3 linked regions of the Xenopus tropicalis genome follow. The protein of the gene in region 2 interacts with the protein of the main gene of each other region in a pairwise test. Links are inferred from orthologs where the notes say so. Each region holds a gene or a part of one and is shown on either strand. Other genes may lie near its edges.

Region 1 (6,431 bases), on a different chromosome or scaffold from region 2:
CTGTGATAACATATATCACTGTTAGGAAAGGGGAGGTAAAATATATCTTCTGTGGGTGCAAACTTTATTTGCATTTTACATCATAGGTAGATTTTCAATAAGGCTAGGGGAGGCTAAAAAGGATCTACAGCAGTGCTGTCCAACTGGCACCTGCGGCCCCCCCTCTCTGTGGCCCCACCGCATGTCTGACTCCTGACCTTTGTGTAAGATTTAAGTGGTACCAGTACTGAGATTAACTGGCCACCTGCATTGTTCACACTTCAGATTCAGGCTGTAAACCCCTGTATTGTTTACATCTGTAATCTCCTTTACTGTTCACACCTTTTAGTCCCTGCATTGTTAGGGTAGGGCAGGCAGAGTATGGCACACAGGCAGCATGGGGCAGGCAGAGTATGGCACACACAGGCAGCATAGGGCAGGCAGAGTATGGCACACACAGGCAACATAGGGCAGGCAGAGTATGGCACACACAAGCAGCATAGGGCAAGCAGAGTATGGCACACACAGGCATGGAAAGGCAGGCAGAGTATGGAACACACAGGCAGTGTTCTGTGTGTGCCGCACACAGGAATTTTTACACAAGGTAATAAAGTAAAAATAAAAATTAGGTTTATTTAGTCCAACGTTTCAGTTCCTACCTGAAGAAAAGATACACTTTTTTTATTGGCATCTGCCCAACCTTTATCATAGTGCAGGCCAGAGTTTGGTAATTAAATAAAGTGTTTCCTGTTCTCCACGAACCACAGAAGCAAAAATGTGTGCTGCTGCTATGAGAAATTGGTATGTGGAGTGGGTGATTGTAGCTAGCAACGCCATTGGCACCCCCATCTGGAGCTTCAGCATTAACGTTATGATGTTAGGGCACCTACAAAGGCTTTGAATCAAAATTTTCAGTCCTGCCCGATAAACGAGACGACCGTCATTCAAGGCTTTTGCTGATATTGGTCACCTTGTGTCCCACCAAACAAGCGCTGTTTTATAAGATAATTACAGTGCATTTATGGCCACCTTTATACTTCATTGAAGTCCTTTGTGTTCACCTAAACCAAAAATGCTAACTATGTCATGTGACTTTAAAGCAACTATTTTTAGTTTCCAAATAATGCAGTTAGGACTTGTTATGGTATATAGATAAATTCAAATATGGATTTGGTGGATTCCTAGGGGCTGATTCACTAAGGTACGAATATGAATCACGAAATCCGATCATTTCTGATGATCGCAAATGTAACGAAAATTCTTTTTGTTTGGATATGAAAATTTTGTACTTACGATGCAAAAACAAAAATGTTGCAAAAAATATGCACAGTTCTAATACTTAGAAAAAATACAATTTTTTTGTGTTCGGACTTAATCGTACTTTGACAAATGGGCCCCCAAGTGTGCAGATAAGGCCACACAGTAATGTAACTACAGTCCTATGGGCATTTTGCCAACATTTGCACCGAGATTGATTTATGTTTTTTTTTTAATTAAGTAAATCAAGGTTTATTAAATGATGAAACACTGACATTTTTTCTAAATGCAAATATCAATGCAAAATTGACTGCATTTATTTTATGCAATCAACCCTGTATTGCCCAGGACTGCATTTATGTAGGGTTCCCTAATGTGAGGTGATCCGGTAACCTTGCGCTATTTAGATTTGCCAATCAGTTTGCAGGCATGATAAATGAGCCCCGCTGATTCCATCCCTCAAAGTATGACAGGCAGGAACGGTTAACCCTTTCCTTTCCAGTTGGGTTTGGTTCGTTTGCACACCAGCTCAATGCTATTCATAACTGAGAGCGCTGAGTTGTGCCTCGCTGAAGTCCATAGACATATCTGTAATGAAGCATCTGATCCTCGGCTGGCAACGGTTAATGTGCAGGCTTGGAAAGTGACTGAAGGAGGAGAGAGCTCTCTTGCGCATGCGCCTCTCAGGCCTCTATTGTTACAGCCCAGCAACAAGGAGCAAGTCAGATTGAGGTAGCCAGCGAGACAGAACGCTAGCTGCTGCTGGGCAAGGAGAACTCGGGGCCGAGAGTTCGGCCGATTGGCCAAGGAAACCTATGGGACTGCTCGGCCTGGCAGGGAACCAACAAGGCCAAAGAAAGGGGATGCGGATCTGATGGGCCCCGTAGCTAGGACTCCTGAAGAAGAGATCAGCACTGCACCCTGCCCGGTGCCCTTATCCAGGCGAGTTTACAGGAGTGTAGAAGCGTCGGGGCACTTACTGAATGAGCTCAAGAGCACTAGTTTGGCTTGGACATTGGAGCATCGCACAGGGGGGTGCTTTCCAGTTCAGTAGCTGCTGGCCGCACCCCTGCCGGGGATAGGGAACCTCAATCCTACGGGGGCTGCTTTCCCTGGCAAACTTCACTGCGGCAGGGAGGGATGCTGCCGGCTCAGAAGCTACTGTAATATCTGCCGGGGGCCTACACAGGACTGTGCGCCACATGGACCCCTTCCCTCATGAACTTGCCCACTTTTAATAAGCATAATTGACGAACTGCCCCTCCTAGACTTATATTTGCCCTCCGTTCTTCTCTATCCACCAAACGCGCACACAGTGCCTAATTCTAGCGCTGTGTGCCCCATGGGGGGGAAGCAGAGCTCAGCCTCCCGCTCTCGGGCTCCCTTCCCGGGGGTTTCCTCGGATGACAGTGCCGTGCCCCCCTCCTCAAACTTTGGACATTTTCGAGCCGGGGGCGCCATGGGCCTGCGCAGCCGTTCTGTTAGCTCTGTCTCTGGCTTGGACCCCCCAGCCCCTGGCCTACCGTTTGGCTTATACCGAGCCGGGCCTGACACCGAGAGAGGGGGCAGCTCAGGGAGCGAGGACTCACGGGGGGACCTTTACCTTGGGTCCCGGGCTTCTCTGGCGGACACGTTGCAAATAGCACCGAGGTGGATAGGGGCACACAGCGGTGAGTCCCTTATTTCTACTTGATGGAATATTGTCTGCCATGGCCATTTACCTTGTGCCAGTGACTTGAGATTTTGTGAGGTTCAGTTTGCATGCAGCAGGAGGCCACCAATATGGACAGTCATTTCATTCCCTCCTTTGTTAACACCAACTTTGAAGCCACATTTCACTTAATGTGCCTAAAATGCCAACATTTTATGTGAATCCATAGGCTGAGCTCTCAGTTGGCATCTTTGTTTTTAAGTGGTGTTTCTCATAAGTGGTTGCCTCTATTAGTGTCTTGTAGTTATGAGATGCCATCATGTACTTATGAGGTACCATGTTATCTCCTCACTTAGTCCTATATATTTTTTTTTTTGTTAATAGACCAATTGAAAGTAGCTTTCTATATTGAGGTTTATAAGCAGTAGGCTTGTCTGTTTCTCTATCCATCTCATCGTTTTTATTCTGTACAAGGTAAAATACATCCCTTGCTCTTAAGGTTGCCACCTTCTCTGGAAAAAAGTACCAGGCTTCATATATATTTAGCTTTCTTGCCTATTAATAACATTGGGATGAAGCATCATTTTTACCAACCAGGCCTGTAAAATACCAGCCAGGTGGCAGCCCTACTTGCACTGGTGCAACAGATAAAAATATTATTTGCATTTGTGCAAAAGGCCAGGTATTACTGCTGCTTTATAACTGGTTGGCATGAATCCTCTCAGGTATTTCAATGAAAATATGGAATGTTCTTTAGCTCCATGGTGTCAGTCTGGAGTGAAATGCTGTGTAGTGTTTTCTGGAGTATTTTTGTGGACTCACTTCTTGACTCCTCTGCTGCCCTACAATGATTTCCTATAAGTGTAGACTCTTAAGATTGTAAATAAAATGTGACATCTATGGCATAATTCCCTATATACAAAGTACATTAGGTTTTAGTAATATGTGTATTGTTGGGTGGGGAAATATAGTTAATGTTTTTATAATCCTTTTTATACTTATACAGGGATTGGTGCAAGAGAATTTATTTCTCTCATTGACAGTTCTTCTTTCTTGGGGGATATTCATTTAAAAAGCTGCAGGCTTGCACTGCTTTACAACTGTGTTTATGATTGTAGGATCAGAATCATAAAGAAATAGACCCGAAGATTTCTGGAAATATCAAGTGGTGTAAAAGGTGGCTGAAGTACAACAAATAAAACTGCTGGATTAAATTTTAAAAAGTCATGAAACCATGGGGGAAATGTAATAAGTCATTAATGAAAATATAAGTGCAATGAAAAATTATTCCTTTTGTGCCAACAATTTTTCCTTTTGAACAAATTTAAAAGTATTTGCTAACCCCATCCCTCAATGGAAGTTTGTTCTAGTGGGCAGTGTAAGTCCCATGTATATGTCTCAAGTCCTTTGAATTTAAAAAAAAAAACAAAAAACTGTGACTACTTCAAATGGTCAATGTATATACTGACTAATGAAGACTATTACAATGCAAAATGCTATTTATTTATGCTAAACATATCCCCATTTATCTCTTGTGTAACGTAAATACAGATATAGCATCTAAATTCTGGAATGCCAGGCACTAGAGAGTCTACACACACAAATGGCAGGTTTTTGTTGAATAAAAATAAAAACACAAATATAAATCCTGTCAGAACTTATTCTACCTTTTATTTCAAAATTGCAACCTATACAAAAGTCAAAACATAGGTGGAGGGTGACTTATTGTTTGGGGAGGCTAAAGATGGGCCTAAAGCTAATGTGAGATTTAGTGGATCTGCTGCTGGCGTAAAAAAAATAAATAAACCTCCAAACTACCTCTTGCGGTTCCAACTGACTTACAGGAATACTGTGCAAAACTGCAGGTGGGAGTGCTTTTTTCACCCTAAATTGCTTAGGACTGTGCTGTCCAACTGGCGACCCTGCATTATTCACACCTTAGGCTCAGACATTAAGCCCCCACATTGTTCACCTGCACTATCAAAGCTCTTTGATAGCATGGTTTGAAGTGGGTGCAGTTTAAAAAAGGGGAGTGGTCAAAACTGGCTTATATTATCGGCCCTCCACCATGTAGGCCAGAATAATTCTGGCCCTCGGTACCACAGAAGTTGGACCGCACTGGCTTAGTATGTAAAAGTATTCATTTGTTTGTTATCAGTTAACTTAAATTTTATTTAGCTTAATAGTGAGAAAGGCAGTGGGTACTGACATCCCAGGCACATTATATATGGTGAAATGTAGTCTATATTTACAAAACCAGCACATTATATGCAGTGAGTACTAACACCCCAGGCATGTTATATGCAGTGAGATGGGTACTGATGCCAGATGTTCTGGGGCTTTAACCTTGGGACTGAAACACATTTGTTTTTTTTTCCCAGTTATGCAGTCTCATGAGGGCTCCACTGCAACTAACTAGAAATGAACAAAACAATGACAACAGTAAGAAAAAAAGTGCAAAAATATACATAAAAGCACAATAAGCTTTTTCAGGGGGAAAGAGTTAATTTAGGACTGGAGCAAGGGCGATAGGGACATTATGGATGCCAGGTGACAAAAAACTACTTAATTTCAGCTAGTGATTCAGCCTCTCGAACATATATAGTATAGTACCCATTGGAGTGGGATGACGATACAGTATAGTACCTGTGGGATGAAATCTGCAGCTAAAGTTCAGAGTTGGTGAGATTCTTGGGTAAAGTTTATAGCCTGTGGATCCTTCTTAGAAATATTAATTTCTGCAGTGTCTTCAGTTTGTAATATCTCCCCAGCCCTGCCTACGTCTGTGCCTTGATAGACTTACAAATTGACTTGTCAAGAGAGCTGTGCTCTGATTGGGGGTGCCTCAAGTAGAAGGATCCAATTAGAGCACAGTTGAGTACAACAAAACCAGAGCTAGCAGGAATGCAAGAAGATTTCCCCAATATTAAAAAGTTCCAGAACAGTGCAGAGAGTGAGTTGTGTTTTTGTTAAAGGTGCCACGCAGGTTTGGGAAGGCTTAGTCTCACCTGGCCTTATTGAAAATCCACCTATGAGTCAAAAGAAAAAAATAAATCATAGAAGAAAATTTCCAGATATGTCAGATTGCAAGAGCATCTCCTGTGCACAGGTCTCTTCAGGTCACCCTGAAGATTTTTAATTGGATTAAGGTTTGGGCTTTGGCTTGGCCTTTCACAAACATTGATCTCATTTGGGGAAGCCGTTGCATTGGTTTAGATGTATGAATTAGGACATTGTCATGCTGAAAGGTTAAGTTTATCTTTGGCTTCCTAGCACATGCAAGGTTTTGTGACAAAATAGGCTAATACTGGGACCTATTCATGATTCCATCCTCCTTGACTAAAGCACCAGTTCCAGCTGATGAAAAGCAGCCCCAAAGCATGATGCTGCCTCCATGCTTTTATTTTTGTTCCAAACATAACTCTTGGAATTGAGCAATGAACAAATCAACCTTTATATAAATAATACAACTGATTGTTGCATGTAGGGAACAACCAGTACTTGCCAAGAAATCCTGCAGCTCCTTTAATGTTGCTAGAGACCT
Region 2 (6,348 bases):
AAATGTGGAATATTTTGAAGGGCAAAAACAGACATAATTTTAGTGAGCAGGTCTGGACCCAGCAAATGCATTAGTACTTACAAGCAAAGCACGAAAAATTGCAAAAAACATGTTCTTATACGTTCCTGCTTAACATTCATCATGGTAAATTGACTCTATTGCAAGAAATAGCATTTAAAAAGGATGTCTGCTTTTTGCTTGCAATTACTGCATCTGTGGGGGTGAAAGGAGCAAAACATTTCCTACAATGGAAAGTGTAAAAAGAAAGCTTTATTTATAACATTGTACACATCAATTTGATCAAATGTGCTTATCTTAGATAAGCAAATGGTGGGTGGAATGTAAAACCACACTCATAAAGAGGTGCCATATGACTCTTGTGCATTTCTTCTAGTGTTGGTTTACTAAAGCACAGAGCATGAGGTCTGTTTACTTGCTATACCTATCATGAGATTACAATTCAATCACTCAGAATCCTTTTCACATTTTAAAACCAGAAAATATATACTTACACACAATATATTTTATATCATGCACATTGTGCATCCACAGGTGGTATAGATTAGCTGAATGTTCACATTGTAAAGTAACTGACATAAATACTGTAGTTCTATCAAATTGTTCAAATCATACAAGAGATTTACATATGCCACACAAAGCTTGCACGAGCCACATGGCTGTAAATCACGGAATGTACATACACACAGTACTACACATTTTGTATTTTAATACATGTAGTCTGGTATGTCTGAAATCAAATTTGTATGTGTTTTAGATGCTGGGCAATAAGAAACCATGATTATGGCACAGAGTATTTTTGGTGCTTCAGCCACTAAGCCACTTTAACTGCAATCATGTCTCTACATGCACGAGGGAGATGCAGTTCACTGACTGCGGACAATTGGCTATCCCCGGCCTATTGCTAAGAACAGTGCTATCCCACTCATGGTTTAGCTGCATCTCTCCATCAGACTCACATAGCGATTTATACATGACATTGCAGCTTTCGGTCTGTGTAGCATTCTGCACAACACTGGATGTTTTTAAATTGCTACATGCCAATCATATTTTCCTTTATTTATGTGACTTATTCAGTTCATTTTCTCTCTGTAGGGCTTGAGTTATCAAGTTAGGAAGTTCTTAAAATGGGTCACTATGATCCCCTTTAGGGTGAAGACACCTGGAGCTACTAGTAGCAGCTACAAAAACAGACAATGCTGATAATTTACTGATAATTGTCTCTACGTGTATTTTAGCAGAGGCAATTCTCAGTCTTGTATATGGCAGGGTATTTTCTGGCATTCTGTAGCCATGACAAGTAGCTGCTACTAAGTAGCTAAATGTGTCTTTGCTCTTGATGCTATGAAAATGCAAGTAACAGACACTAAGTGGCTGATTATATGATCATTTAATCCAGGGTTTCAGCTAAAACAAAGTCAGAAAATACTAGTAAGTTGTTTTATTATCTGGTATCTACTGTTTTTTTCCCATTGTGCAGGGTTTTTCTTTGCACAATCAATTGTTTTTAAAAAAAACTTGCTTATTCATAAAATGATTACATTTATAATTATATATATAGATATAGATATATAGATTATATCTATAAAGAGTGTAGTCGCACAGCTGACTCTGAAATTCACCCACTTTCTATTTATTACTAAGGGATTTTTAGAAATGTATTTATCAAATAATTATTCCTATGGGATTTTTAGAAGCATGTTTATCAGAGGGTGAAAGTTAGAGTCCATCATTTGATAAATATGTTTCTAAAAATCCCTCAGGAATAAATAGAAAGTGGGTGAATTTTTCTGTGGTTAGCTCTAATCTCACATTTTGATAAATCTCCCTCTAAGTCTTAGGATGATAAATCATGGGTGCTCAGCAGCTGGCTAAAAGCACCAACTGGAAAAAAATACCAGCCTTCCTATATTTTTTTTATCTATTGTCCCTATTAATATTACAATCATAAAGGATCAATTTTACCCGCAAGGTGGCAACCCTACATGTAAACCAGCTGAAAAGCATGTATCATTAGCTTTAAGATGACTACAAAAAATCCAACACTGTCTTTGATTAAGCCACTCCAAGCCAAGCCCTCCAATACTGGGTTGGAGATCAGTCATTTATCTATTGCCCTGGTTTGAAAATTATACCATCTAAGAAGTCTTTATTGGGTTGAAGTGTCTGCATAGGCCCCTAGGGTGATTCTTCTGTTAGCCAGGAAGAAAAAATAAAATCAGAACAAATATGGGTCACTCAATATTCCCAAAATCAGGCAAAAGTCAACTCATTTAGTAACCTTGTTAAACAAGTGGATCTTTGTGCACATGGCTATCTTAGGCCATTTAATACTAAGAGAACTAACATTACAGGAAATGATATAATGATATATGCACTTTTTTCACCTGCACGTTGAACAAGTAAAGCAAGTCAACATACTGTACAACAGAATTCCCATTTAAGAGTCAGGCAAAACATGTTTTAATCAATCCAACACTGGTTACACTGTCAGTATTGCACACATATCTATTAGTTGAGTGCACAATGAAAACAAAATCAAGATGTATATGCTACACCTCCGCTGTCCAACTGGAAGCCCACAAGCCAGATGTAGATCTCCAAGTCTTTTTCATGGCCCCCAGCAGGCTCATGGACTCCAAAGACTTTATATGACATCATCATTTCAGCAAAGTCCAGCCCCTGTACATGTGGTTTACTGGATAATTAGCCAACTACATGCAATAGGTTGAGCAAGCATTGAGCTACACTATCCACAAATTACAGATTTGCTAATAAACTGGATCAAATAATGTACAAACTGTACACTACCAACACACTAAAATGATAATAAGAATGAGTGCAAGCTCCTTGGAACACAGAATCTAATATTGAACTTGAATTGTTTACATATGTCCTTGTCTGGGGCTACATCCTCTGCTTATAAATGGTCGGCCCTCAACCTTTTGTTTAGCCATAGTTCCAAGAAACCCCACCAGCCAAAGCATACTGGGGGATGCTGGGAGTTGTAGTGAAACCCCAGCATGAGGGCAGCAGGCTGGACAACCATGACTGACTGAATGCAGAAAAGATTCCATTATCTACACTGAGTGAAGCTTGGTGTGTGTAACATGGTTCCCTCCCTAATGTACAGCACATCTGTATATGAAAGTCCTAGCCTGGCTAGTAGGATGGTAGCCCATCTGGCCAGCTGTAGGCTGCACAACACGATGTAGTGGGAGCTGATGTACCCTTACATTTGTATATAGGTTATGGGTCACATAGACACATCTATACACTGCATTCCCAATCTTTGGCACATGTAACACCTATACATCCTGTTGTGCCCTTTGTACAGCCAGTTTTATATGGGAGACCAATCATTTGTATGAAAGCACAGACAAATCATTACCTGCCCCCAATCCCGGTGCCGAACAAAGTGTGGGTGCAACACACGAACCCAGCTCTTCCTGACCTCCTCCTCCTCCTCTTCTTCCTCCTTCAACTGTCTCCCTGGGGCGGGGGGTCCTCTTTTCACACCTCTTCGGGGTCCGGACACACATCCACAGTCACCCCGGACCCCAAGGCACCTGTGTAGGTAAGTGCGTAGGGCTAGTCGTCAAGAAATATTAAGCCAAACGCCCCGCTTACATATGGTAAATCCCCTATTTCTCAGCAGCTCTCCCCCTACATCCAGAGCACAGGCTCCTATTTTAGCACGGACACGCGCAAAAGGGGCGGGTATTAGTACGGTATGTATGTCGCCGCCCTCTCTGGCTGCCTCTTCAGAACAACTCCTAGCGGCTCCGCCCACCGCCGTCGATGGACCCGCCCCAAGGAGTGCAGGAGCGCGCAAATAGAGTGTGATGTAAAGAGGGAGAAAAGAGGCCGTGAGGGAGGGGGCGAGCACATGGAGTCAGTGTTTCAGTGCGCGCTCCCGACACCGCTTGGCAGAAAATAGAAAACGTAGGGCTGCAATAACTTCAAGGGGTATATAAAGCTGAGCTGTGTGTTACTCAGCAATGATGTAGAAGTTACAGGGTTCCTCTGCTGTGTCAGCAGGTCCTTCATATTCTATGTGGCTGCGGCTATGGAGTGCTGAGCAGTATGCGCCGTGCCAAGGCATACACAGTGCTGGTTGCCCAGACGAGTGCAAATGTGGCCCTGAATAACTCTCTCTTGCTTTTCCTATCATGGACATGGGGCCACTGGCTCACATATTGTTTGGCAAGGCATTAGTGCTGTGGGATTTCCATGTATATGAGAAGTTTTCCCAGGGCACTGTCCCAGCGAGTAATTGCTCTTTACAGGGTATTGGTGGTTAGGAGCATGAGTGAATTGTTTCCATATCAATTTTAAATCTTTATTAGTATCTGCGATGTCATTTTTTTGTGGCAAAGGCCACAGGTGTTACAGCACAGGGCCACGAATGATATTTCATTTATTTGCCTATTACAGCCAGTGGTTTAAGTTTGGGGGGTTACTTTGCATACTATTCACCAAAACTATTTATTACAGGAAGTAATGAAAGAGGGGAGAGGGTATTTAGTTGAATATTTGCCTCAATTTATATTACTCCACAAGGAAAAACACATCTTGAAAAGTTAGACAGGAAGTGGCTTAGGGATATGGCTATCTGTGTTCTTAACCTACATAAATATGTGCCAGAACAACACAGATATATGCACAGCAGCATTCATGTGCATCAGGGCTGGCCAGCTCATAATCCTCCAGGTGCAGCTGAACATTGAAAATAGCCTGCGAAGAAATTCTGTTTATTACTAATCCTGTCAATTCCTGTCATTTCCAGAGTGATTATTGATTTTTCCTTGTATAAACAGAACTTTCCTGGCACTTCTGCGGCTCTTTATCTGTGCTAAACCAGTTTCACCATCAGGTCTCGATTTCTCAGTGAGAGACGCAGAGGAAGCTATTCACCTTCTGACAGACCAAGGTAATCAACAACCTTTGCCCCTTAGGCCCCATGGTTTTTATTTTTAAAAAAATCGGTAAAGCAGGTTACCCACTGGAAATTGCACCCCCAGACATTCATAATAAAAAGGAAAGCAAAACTATTGTGTAGGTTCAAAAGGTATTTCTTAGCAATGATTTAAATTAGTATAGAACTGTGTAGCTATTATTATGAGTATATTACAATCCATTCAATTTTAACATTATCCAATATTAAAAGAAAACTACCACACAGAATCATGTATATTGTGGAAAGTCAGATACATTAAATAAGCTGTGAATACCATATTGAAGAGCTAAAGATCACTGGCCCAGACAGAACAATCAGTCAATCTCCAACATAGATGGAGATAATAAATAATGGCTTAGGCCAATGGCACACAGAATTTTCTTCACTGGCATAGATGCCCCGGCATGGAAAAGGCCGATCTGCTTTCATCTGCCCCACCCTGTGTGAGAACTGGCAGGCATGGTATTGGCCCATTAGTGTGCACATGGTGCAAATTATGTGTGCAGAAAAACTAAACTGTGCATGGTTGCACCAATATCCACACTGTTTGCATGCTGGTGGGTCAATACTGTGCCTACCACTGCACACACAAGACAGGGCCTTTTCTCTGCAGATGTATCTGTGACAAAGGTGACCGCTTTGAGTGCTGTTTGGTCAAGTAGCCACTTTAAAGGCCTCTGCAAAGTGCATTTTGGAATTAAAACTGTACTTTCCTGCTACTGTTTGTTCTTTAGTATGTGTCTGAGACTATTACACTGTAGACACCTGGTATATGCAAGTCTTAGCAGTAACCTCTTTTAGATAGCTTACATTGCAAGAATTTGCCAATACCTAAGCCACAAAAAATACAAAAGGTTAAGGATAGGTTAAGGAATAGAAGAACCACTTATCACCTCCTGTTAATTATTGTCTTATTGTGTTATAATCATTTAAAGGAAGCCAAAAGAGAGATGTAACCTAGCAGCCTCAAAAACGACTATAAGTATGCCTCTAGGTTTTGGCTGCTGAATGAGAAACATAAATGTAACATTACTTAGTATCAACAGTGCCTGGACATAGTGATACCATAAAATGATGTCAGCATATGTATTCAGCAGTATTTAGCTTTGTTCTACGGCAAACTTTTTATAGTGGCTCATTAAATCTTATAAAGACTAGTTTAGGTACATAACATACTACATGTGTCGGAAAGGGATCATGGACACTTTTTAGAGACAATGTATATAGGAAATTTTATTGTAAACTATTCCTTATCCACATTTAGATTTGTATATTTAATCACGGATCATTGTATTTTCTAGTTCTGCTTGTGACCATGCCATACCTATTGTAACTGTTTATAATGATTTAGTAATATCTACTCCCTACAT
Region 3 (6,415 bases), on a different chromosome or scaffold from region 2:
GAATAGTGAATGCGATAATGACCGTGTTTTCTTTTTAAATGTATAGTAGCTTGTATGGTTAGGGTTGCCGTCTGTCCGGTATTTTTAGCATCGGTAAAAAAGGTACTATGGGGAACGGTTGGGAGAGGACTGCACCAAGGAATTGATGTAGTGCCCAAATGATGGGGAACAGTGATACAGAGCACAGTCCTCTGCTACTCATTAACTGCAAACCCTAAGCCGGTTGGCACATACAAGCTTATTGTAAGTATTGTTCTGCCTAGGGGAGGCAGAACAATACTTACAATAAGCTTGCATTATAGTGCTATAAACAATATGCACAATATATATACAATATCTATGTACAGTGGATATAAAAAGTCTACACACCCCTGATAAAATGTCAGGTTCCTGTGCCGTACAAAAATGAGACAAAGATAAATCATTTCAGAACTTTTTCCACCTTTAATGTGACCTATAAAATGTACCACTCAATTGAAAAACAAACTGAAATCTTTTAGGGGGAGGGAAGAAAACCAAAACAACTAAAATAATGTGGTTCCATAAGTGTGCACACCCTCTTCTAACTGGAGATGTAGCTGTGTTCAGAATTAAGGAATCACATTACAAAATCATGTTAAATAGGAGTCAGCATACACCTGCCATCATTTAAAGTGCCTCTGATTAACCCCAAATAAAGTTCAGCTGCTCTAGTTGATCTTTCCTGACATTTTTTTAGTCGCATCCCACAGCAAAAGCCATGGTCCACAGAGAGCTTCCAAAGCATCAGAGGGATCTCATTGTTAAATGATATCAGTCAGGAGAAGGTACAGAAGAATTTCCAAGGCATTAGATATACCATGGAACACAGTGAAGACAGTCATCATCAAAGGGAGAAATATGGCACAACAGTGAATTACCAAGAACTGGACGTCCCTCCAAAATTGATGAAAAGACGAGAAGAAAACTGGTCAGGGAGGCTACCAAGAGGCCTACAGCAACATTAAAGGAGCTGCAAGAATATTTGGCAAGTACTGGCTGTGTGGTACATGTGACAACAATCTCCCGTATTTCTTTTCTTACGAAGAAAAACATCCAAGTCAGGCTACATTTTGCAAAAACACATCTGAAGTCTCCCAAAAGCATGTGGGAAAAGGTGTTATGGTCTGATGAAACCAAGGTTGAACTTTTTGGCCATAATTCCAAAAAATATGTTTGGGACAAAAACAATACTGCACATCACCAAAAGAACACCATACCCACAGTGAAGCATGGTGGTGGCAGCATCATGGGGCTGTTTTTCTTCAGCTGGAACTGGGGCCTTAGTTAAGATAGAGGGAATTATGAACAGTTCCAAATACCAGTCAATATTGGCACAAAACCCTCAGGCTTCTGCTAGAAAGCTGAACATGAGGAGGAACTTCATCTTTCAGCATGACAACGACCCAAAGCATACATCCAAATCAACAAAGGAATGGCTTCACCGGAAGATTAAAGTTTTGGAATGGCCCAGCCAGAGCCCAGACCTGAATCCGATTGAAAATCTGTGGGTTGATCTGAAGAGGGCTGTGCACAGGAGATGCCCTTGCAATCTGACAGATTTGGAGTGTTTCTGCAAAGAAGAGTGGGCAAATCTTGCAAGTCAAAACGTGCCATGCTGATAGACTCATACCCAAAAAGACTGAGTGCTGCAATAAAATCAAAAGGTGCTTTAACAAAGTATTAGTTTATGGGTGTGCACACTTATGCAACCACATTATTTTAGTTTTTTTGGTTTTCTTCCCTCCCCCTAAAAGATTTGTTTGTTTTTCAATTGAGTGGTACAGTTTATAGGGCACATTAAAGGTGGAAAAATTTCTAAAATGATTTATCTTTGTCTCATTGTTGTACAGCACAGGAACCTGACATTTTACCAGGGGTGTGTAGACTTTTTATATCCACTGTATATACACATTATACATTGTGCTGGAACTTGAAGCACAAATATTCGTGTGGTAGCAGTGAAGGGAGGAAGGGTAAACGTCAGTGAACAATAAGTTTCAGTTATACACATATTTATTATGATGATGGGGCAAAGACGGAATTAGAGGCAACGTTGACCTCGGAATATTCACTTCCTTATATTTTCCAATGGAGGGGGAAACGATTCCCTATATAAGCCCTGGGAAGGGGCACAGGATCAGAATGCTTCAGAAGTGACTGCAGCACCGCACCGACTGCATCACTCCAACACTTTTTGATGTTTCCCAAAGGCCTCACAAATCACCCGTTTACCTTTCGGATGTAGCTGCCTACGTTGGATGCATAAACAAAGGAATAGGAACTAAAAGGACACGTCCTGACCTACGAAGTTGTCTCTTGAATAAGAGAACCCTATATTAGAGGGCTAGCGGAGAGTGAGTGAGTGAGGGAAGAGTGGCAGAGGGGCGCGCATGCGCAGAGAGCTTGTTTTTCCCAAAGCCGCACATAAGTGAGCCGGCACACTGCAGACAGGCGTCTTTGTAAAGAGACCATAGAAGAGAGCACTGTGACAGCAGCTGCTGCTGTTACTTCTCCTACCTGTTCTTCCCGATGAGCTGGCCGCTGGGCGAGCACTGAGCCTGCCTGCAGTCTCTGCACGGCAAATGCATACTCCAGTGCTCTGGCAACATCGCCATTGATGTGAAATCGGAAACTTTTGTCTCCCCCCCAGAATATTTTTATAGCCCCCTTTTACAATCATGGTGCTGGGGAAGGTGAAGAGTTTGACCATAAGCTTTGACTGCCTCAATGGCAGCCACGTCCCCGTCTATTCCAGCGGGGATGCAGTCTCAGGAAGGGTCAATCTGGAAGTGACGGGGGAAATTCGGGTGAAATCCCTGAGGATCCATGCCAGGGGGCATGCAAAAGTCAGATGGACGGAATCAAGGAACGCTGGCTCCAACACTGCCTATACCCAGAATTATACTGAAGAAGTGGAGTATTTCAGTCATAAAGACATCCTGATTGGGCATGAGAGAGGTAAGGATGCTGGGGCTTTTATGGGGTGCTGGGGGTACCTGATATTGGGGTGTATTGGTTATCAGTCAGGCAGCCATTTATTTGTGTGAAGTTGTAGCCTTTATATTTAGCTGAGGGGCTTGGGAGTTGTAGTTCTACAGCATCAGCATAGTGCTTTGTTATTGAACTTATGGAACGGTCATTGCCCATTTGTTTGCATTGTGTGGCTGTATATACAGCTGCTGTGGGCTCCCATGGCTGTGCCCAGCTCGCCAGCCTAACTGGAAGGTGTGTGCCGCAGAGCCCGGGCAGCCTGTTGGGGAGCCCAGTGAATATGGGGGTGATTGGGCATGGGGGGGGGGGCATGGGGAGAGTTGAAGAGTCATTGCGAGCAGGGTGGGGGAAGTGAAGGAATCATCTTGTTTTTCTGAAGTTTACACCACCCTTTGTTAGAAGCGGTTCAATCCTGTTTTCGGCTAGTGGTGTCAGTGGAGAGAGAAGTGAGTGGGAGGGGGGAGCTGCGCTGCTTGCACGGGATTGGCTGATGGGGAGTCAGGTGGTGAGCAGGCTGAATCGCTTCCAAAGGAAAGAAGCACTGAATAACAGCAGTGTACCCCTCAATCCCTGCTGGGCGATATGTGGGTACCCACCCCACTCATGCATGGCGCATCCTTTGCACCTTCATTCAGTACAAATGTCTATATTTTCCATCGTTATTGCACCTCATAACGTTAGTATCACGCTAAGGAGCTGGCATTGCTGTTCCATGAATGGCTTGCAACTCTATATGGCTGCCCGGTGATACCATTCCAAGGCAGCGTTACTTGCCAGTGCTGCATTGCAATGAGTAGTGCTAGAGTAGTGCTGAGGGCAGTGTTTGGGCAAGAAGTGAGCGGCTCTCTGTACAATATGTGGTGCTAGCCTCCATGACTTAGTGGTATAGAGGTGCTGTCACTGAGCAAGTGAACGTTGCCGGACTCCATGCAATACACAGGGTTGGGCTCTCAATTCCAGGTCAGTAAGGGCTCGTAGGAAAATAAAGTATGTGCTGTGTATTAGTGGAACAGTGTAAGGAGCCAGAGTACTGGCAGGCTCTACTGCACAATGCTACTAGGCGCTAAGTAAGCCGGTCTCAGAGCTCAGTAATGCACCAACAGGTGTCCAGCCTCACACAGTGACTAGCAAAGCGCCCAAGGCATTGTTTCATTGTAGTGTGCTGCGAGCTGTGCCATTCTACCTCAGCAACTTACAGGTTAACAGTTACAGTTAGGTGCAGCGCCACACTAGCTTGCTTGGTGAGGGAGGAGGAAGGAAATCAGTGCCGCGCCCAACTCGCATTCGATTGGCCCAGAGCAGTTTGTTAGGCTGTTGTCAAGACAACGGCCGCTGAATGCGATTGGCTGGCCTTGTTGCTTAGGGCGCCAGGGAACAGGTGGAGTGAGATGGGCGTGCCCGTGACGTTTTAGCCTTCCCTGACGCTGCTAGTCCGCTGGCGCTAGAGCAGGGGGCGGTGATAGAGTATCAAGCTCATGGCTTTATTAGCGCAGCTGCCTTTATTGTGTTGCAGGGACTGTGTGTGGAATAGGCGTGCGTGTGATTGAGCCTTATCCTTATGCTCTATACTTACAGGGTGACTTATAGTTCATTAGCAGCCCACTGGTCTCCAGAGAGATACTTTCATCACATAATGCTTTATACTATGCTAGGGAGCAGTGCTTACAGCTGTGTAAGCCATTTATTATACCGGTCCTAAGCATTGCTAGTGCTGGCTACACACGTAGTATCGCTCTGGGCATTGCTAGTGCTGGCTACACACGTAGTACCGCTCTGGGCATTGGTAGTGCTGGCTACACACGTAGTACCGCTCTGGGCATTGCTAGTGCTGGCTACACACGTAGTACCGCTCTGGGCATTGGTAGTGCTGGCTACACACGTAGTACCGCTCTGGGCATTGCTAGTGCTGGCTACACACGTAGTACCGCTCTGGGCATTGCTAGTGCTGGCTACACACGTAGTACCGCTCTCAGCAAGAATCCAGCGTGGTCTCCTGTACACCCGGAAGCTGGGGGCGGGGGGAGGAGGTGGGCGGAGACATGGGTTAGGCTGCGCTCTCTGCGGCTGAGCTACGTAATAGCTATGCATATGAGGGACTGGCTGAGGTTCTGCTCGCACCGGTTCAGGCCGGTCCTCTCCTGCTGGAGTCTGCTTGTGATTGACAGTTCCACACTTGTTTACCACACTGTGCGGCTGCCTCTCTCTCGCCTGCTCACTTTGCAGCACATTGCTGAGCTGGCACAAAGGAAGAAAGTAAGGCAAGGGGAAAAGTGCTGCTCCATTAAGAAGAGAAACATATCAAATTATATTCAGTCAAGCAAACCGACTTAAATTACCAAATCACGTTGTGCTACCTATAGACTTGCTATAATATACCTCAGATTTACTATAATGTACATTTATTTATTTGTTTTAGCAGCTGCTCCCCTTTGTATTTCGGTCAGCTTTCCCTAGGTATTCATTCAAACAAGTATTAACCTTAATTCTTGTTTTATCATCAACTACAACCCACAATCCCCTATATAGTCAAAAGCCGCAACTGTAGGTGGTGCTCTACAGCTCAGCCTTCACTCAATTACAAATATATATATATAATTGTAAATTTGCTAAACTGGATCCTGCCCAGGATGCCAACCAACAGAATGTGACTCAGCGCTCACACACCCATGAGCAGATACAGTATCTCCCAGGTGTGTGCCAAGGAGTGGGGAAGGTCAAGTTGTTTACTTCAAATAAGCAGGCCCCTCCCTGAGATCTCACCTTCCCCGTGCGGTCACGGAATTTAGGATTTTATTGTTTCCCAGAGGGACTGGTTTTATTGGTTTGCTTAGGAGCACTTGTTCTGCCAACGAGGTGACTTATTGTTTCCCCTGGCTATAAGCTGTCTCTGTCAGTCACCTTCTGTTTCACACATATTCATTGCTATATTGTTCTGGTATGTATACTGGGATATGTAGGCCACAAAAGGAAGCAGTTTCGTTTACCTTCTTCATTAAGGGTGAAGACACATGAAGCTACTAGTAGCGGCTATTTGTCACGGCCACTAAATGCCAGAAAATATCCTGCCATAGACCTAACTGAGAATTGCCTCTGGTATAACACGTATAGAGACAATTATCAGTAAATGATAAATATTGTCTGTTTTAGTAGCCATGACAAGTAGCTGCTACTAGTAGCTCCATGTGTCTTCACCCTTAAACAGGCCATAGATACTGTACTTTAATAGTGGTATACTGATTAATGTGTTGTTACATGTATGTATATTTCTCTTCTAGATGACGATAATTCAGAAGAAGGACTAACCACTATTCATTCAGGAAGGCATGAATATGCATTTAGCTTTGAGCTTCCACAAATGTAAGTTATACACAGCTTTGTCAACTCCTCCCCAATTAAAACAAGC

The links. The genes of interacting proteins can lie anywhere in the genome.
Region 1: the proteins of ube2e2 (region 2) and znrf1 interact in a two-hybrid assay, tested with the Homo sapiens proteins (2 studies listed by BioGRID and IntAct). The link is inferred for Xenopus tropicalis from reciprocal best matches to the Homo sapiens genes UBE2E2 and ZNRF1.
Region 3: the proteins of ube2e2 (region 2) and arrdc3 interact in binary tests that used the Homo sapiens proteins (3 or more experiments, as listed by UniProt). The two-hybrid records come from large-scale screens. The link is inferred for Xenopus tropicalis from reciprocal best matches to the Homo sapiens genes UBE2E2 and ARRDC3.

Annotation. Positions count from the first base shown.
Region 1 is NC_030680.2:74,534,098-74,540,528, reverse strand, and holds the start of znrf1 (E3 ubiquitin-protein ligase ZNRF1), read left to right. Parts: upstream 1-2,526; 5' UTR 2,527-2,578; coding exon 2,579-2,906; intron 2,907-6,431. UniProt on the Homo sapiens protein: E3 ubiquitin-protein ligase that plays a role in different processes including cell differentiation, receptor recycling or regulation of inflammation. Mediates the ubiquitination of AKT1 and GLUL, thereby playing a role in neuron cells differentiation.
Region 2 is NC_030682.2:46,325,372-46,331,719, reverse strand, and holds the start of ube2e2 (ubiquitin-conjugating enzyme E2 E2), read right to left. Parts: upstream 3,725-6,348; 5' UTR 3,410-3,724; intron 1-3,409.
Region 3 is NC_030677.2:178,685,153-178,691,567, forward strand, and holds the start of arrdc3 (arrestin domain-containing protein 3), read left to right. Parts: upstream 1-2,510; 5' UTR 2,511-2,699; coding exon 2,700-2,979; intron 2,980-4,594; exon of another isoform or gene 4,595-5,265; intron 5,266-5,715; exon of another isoform or gene 5,716-5,947; intron 5,948-6,287; coding exon 6,288-6,369; intron 6,370-6,415. UniProt on the Homo sapiens protein: Adapter protein that plays a role in regulating cell-surface expression of adrenergic receptors and probably also other G protein-coupled receptors.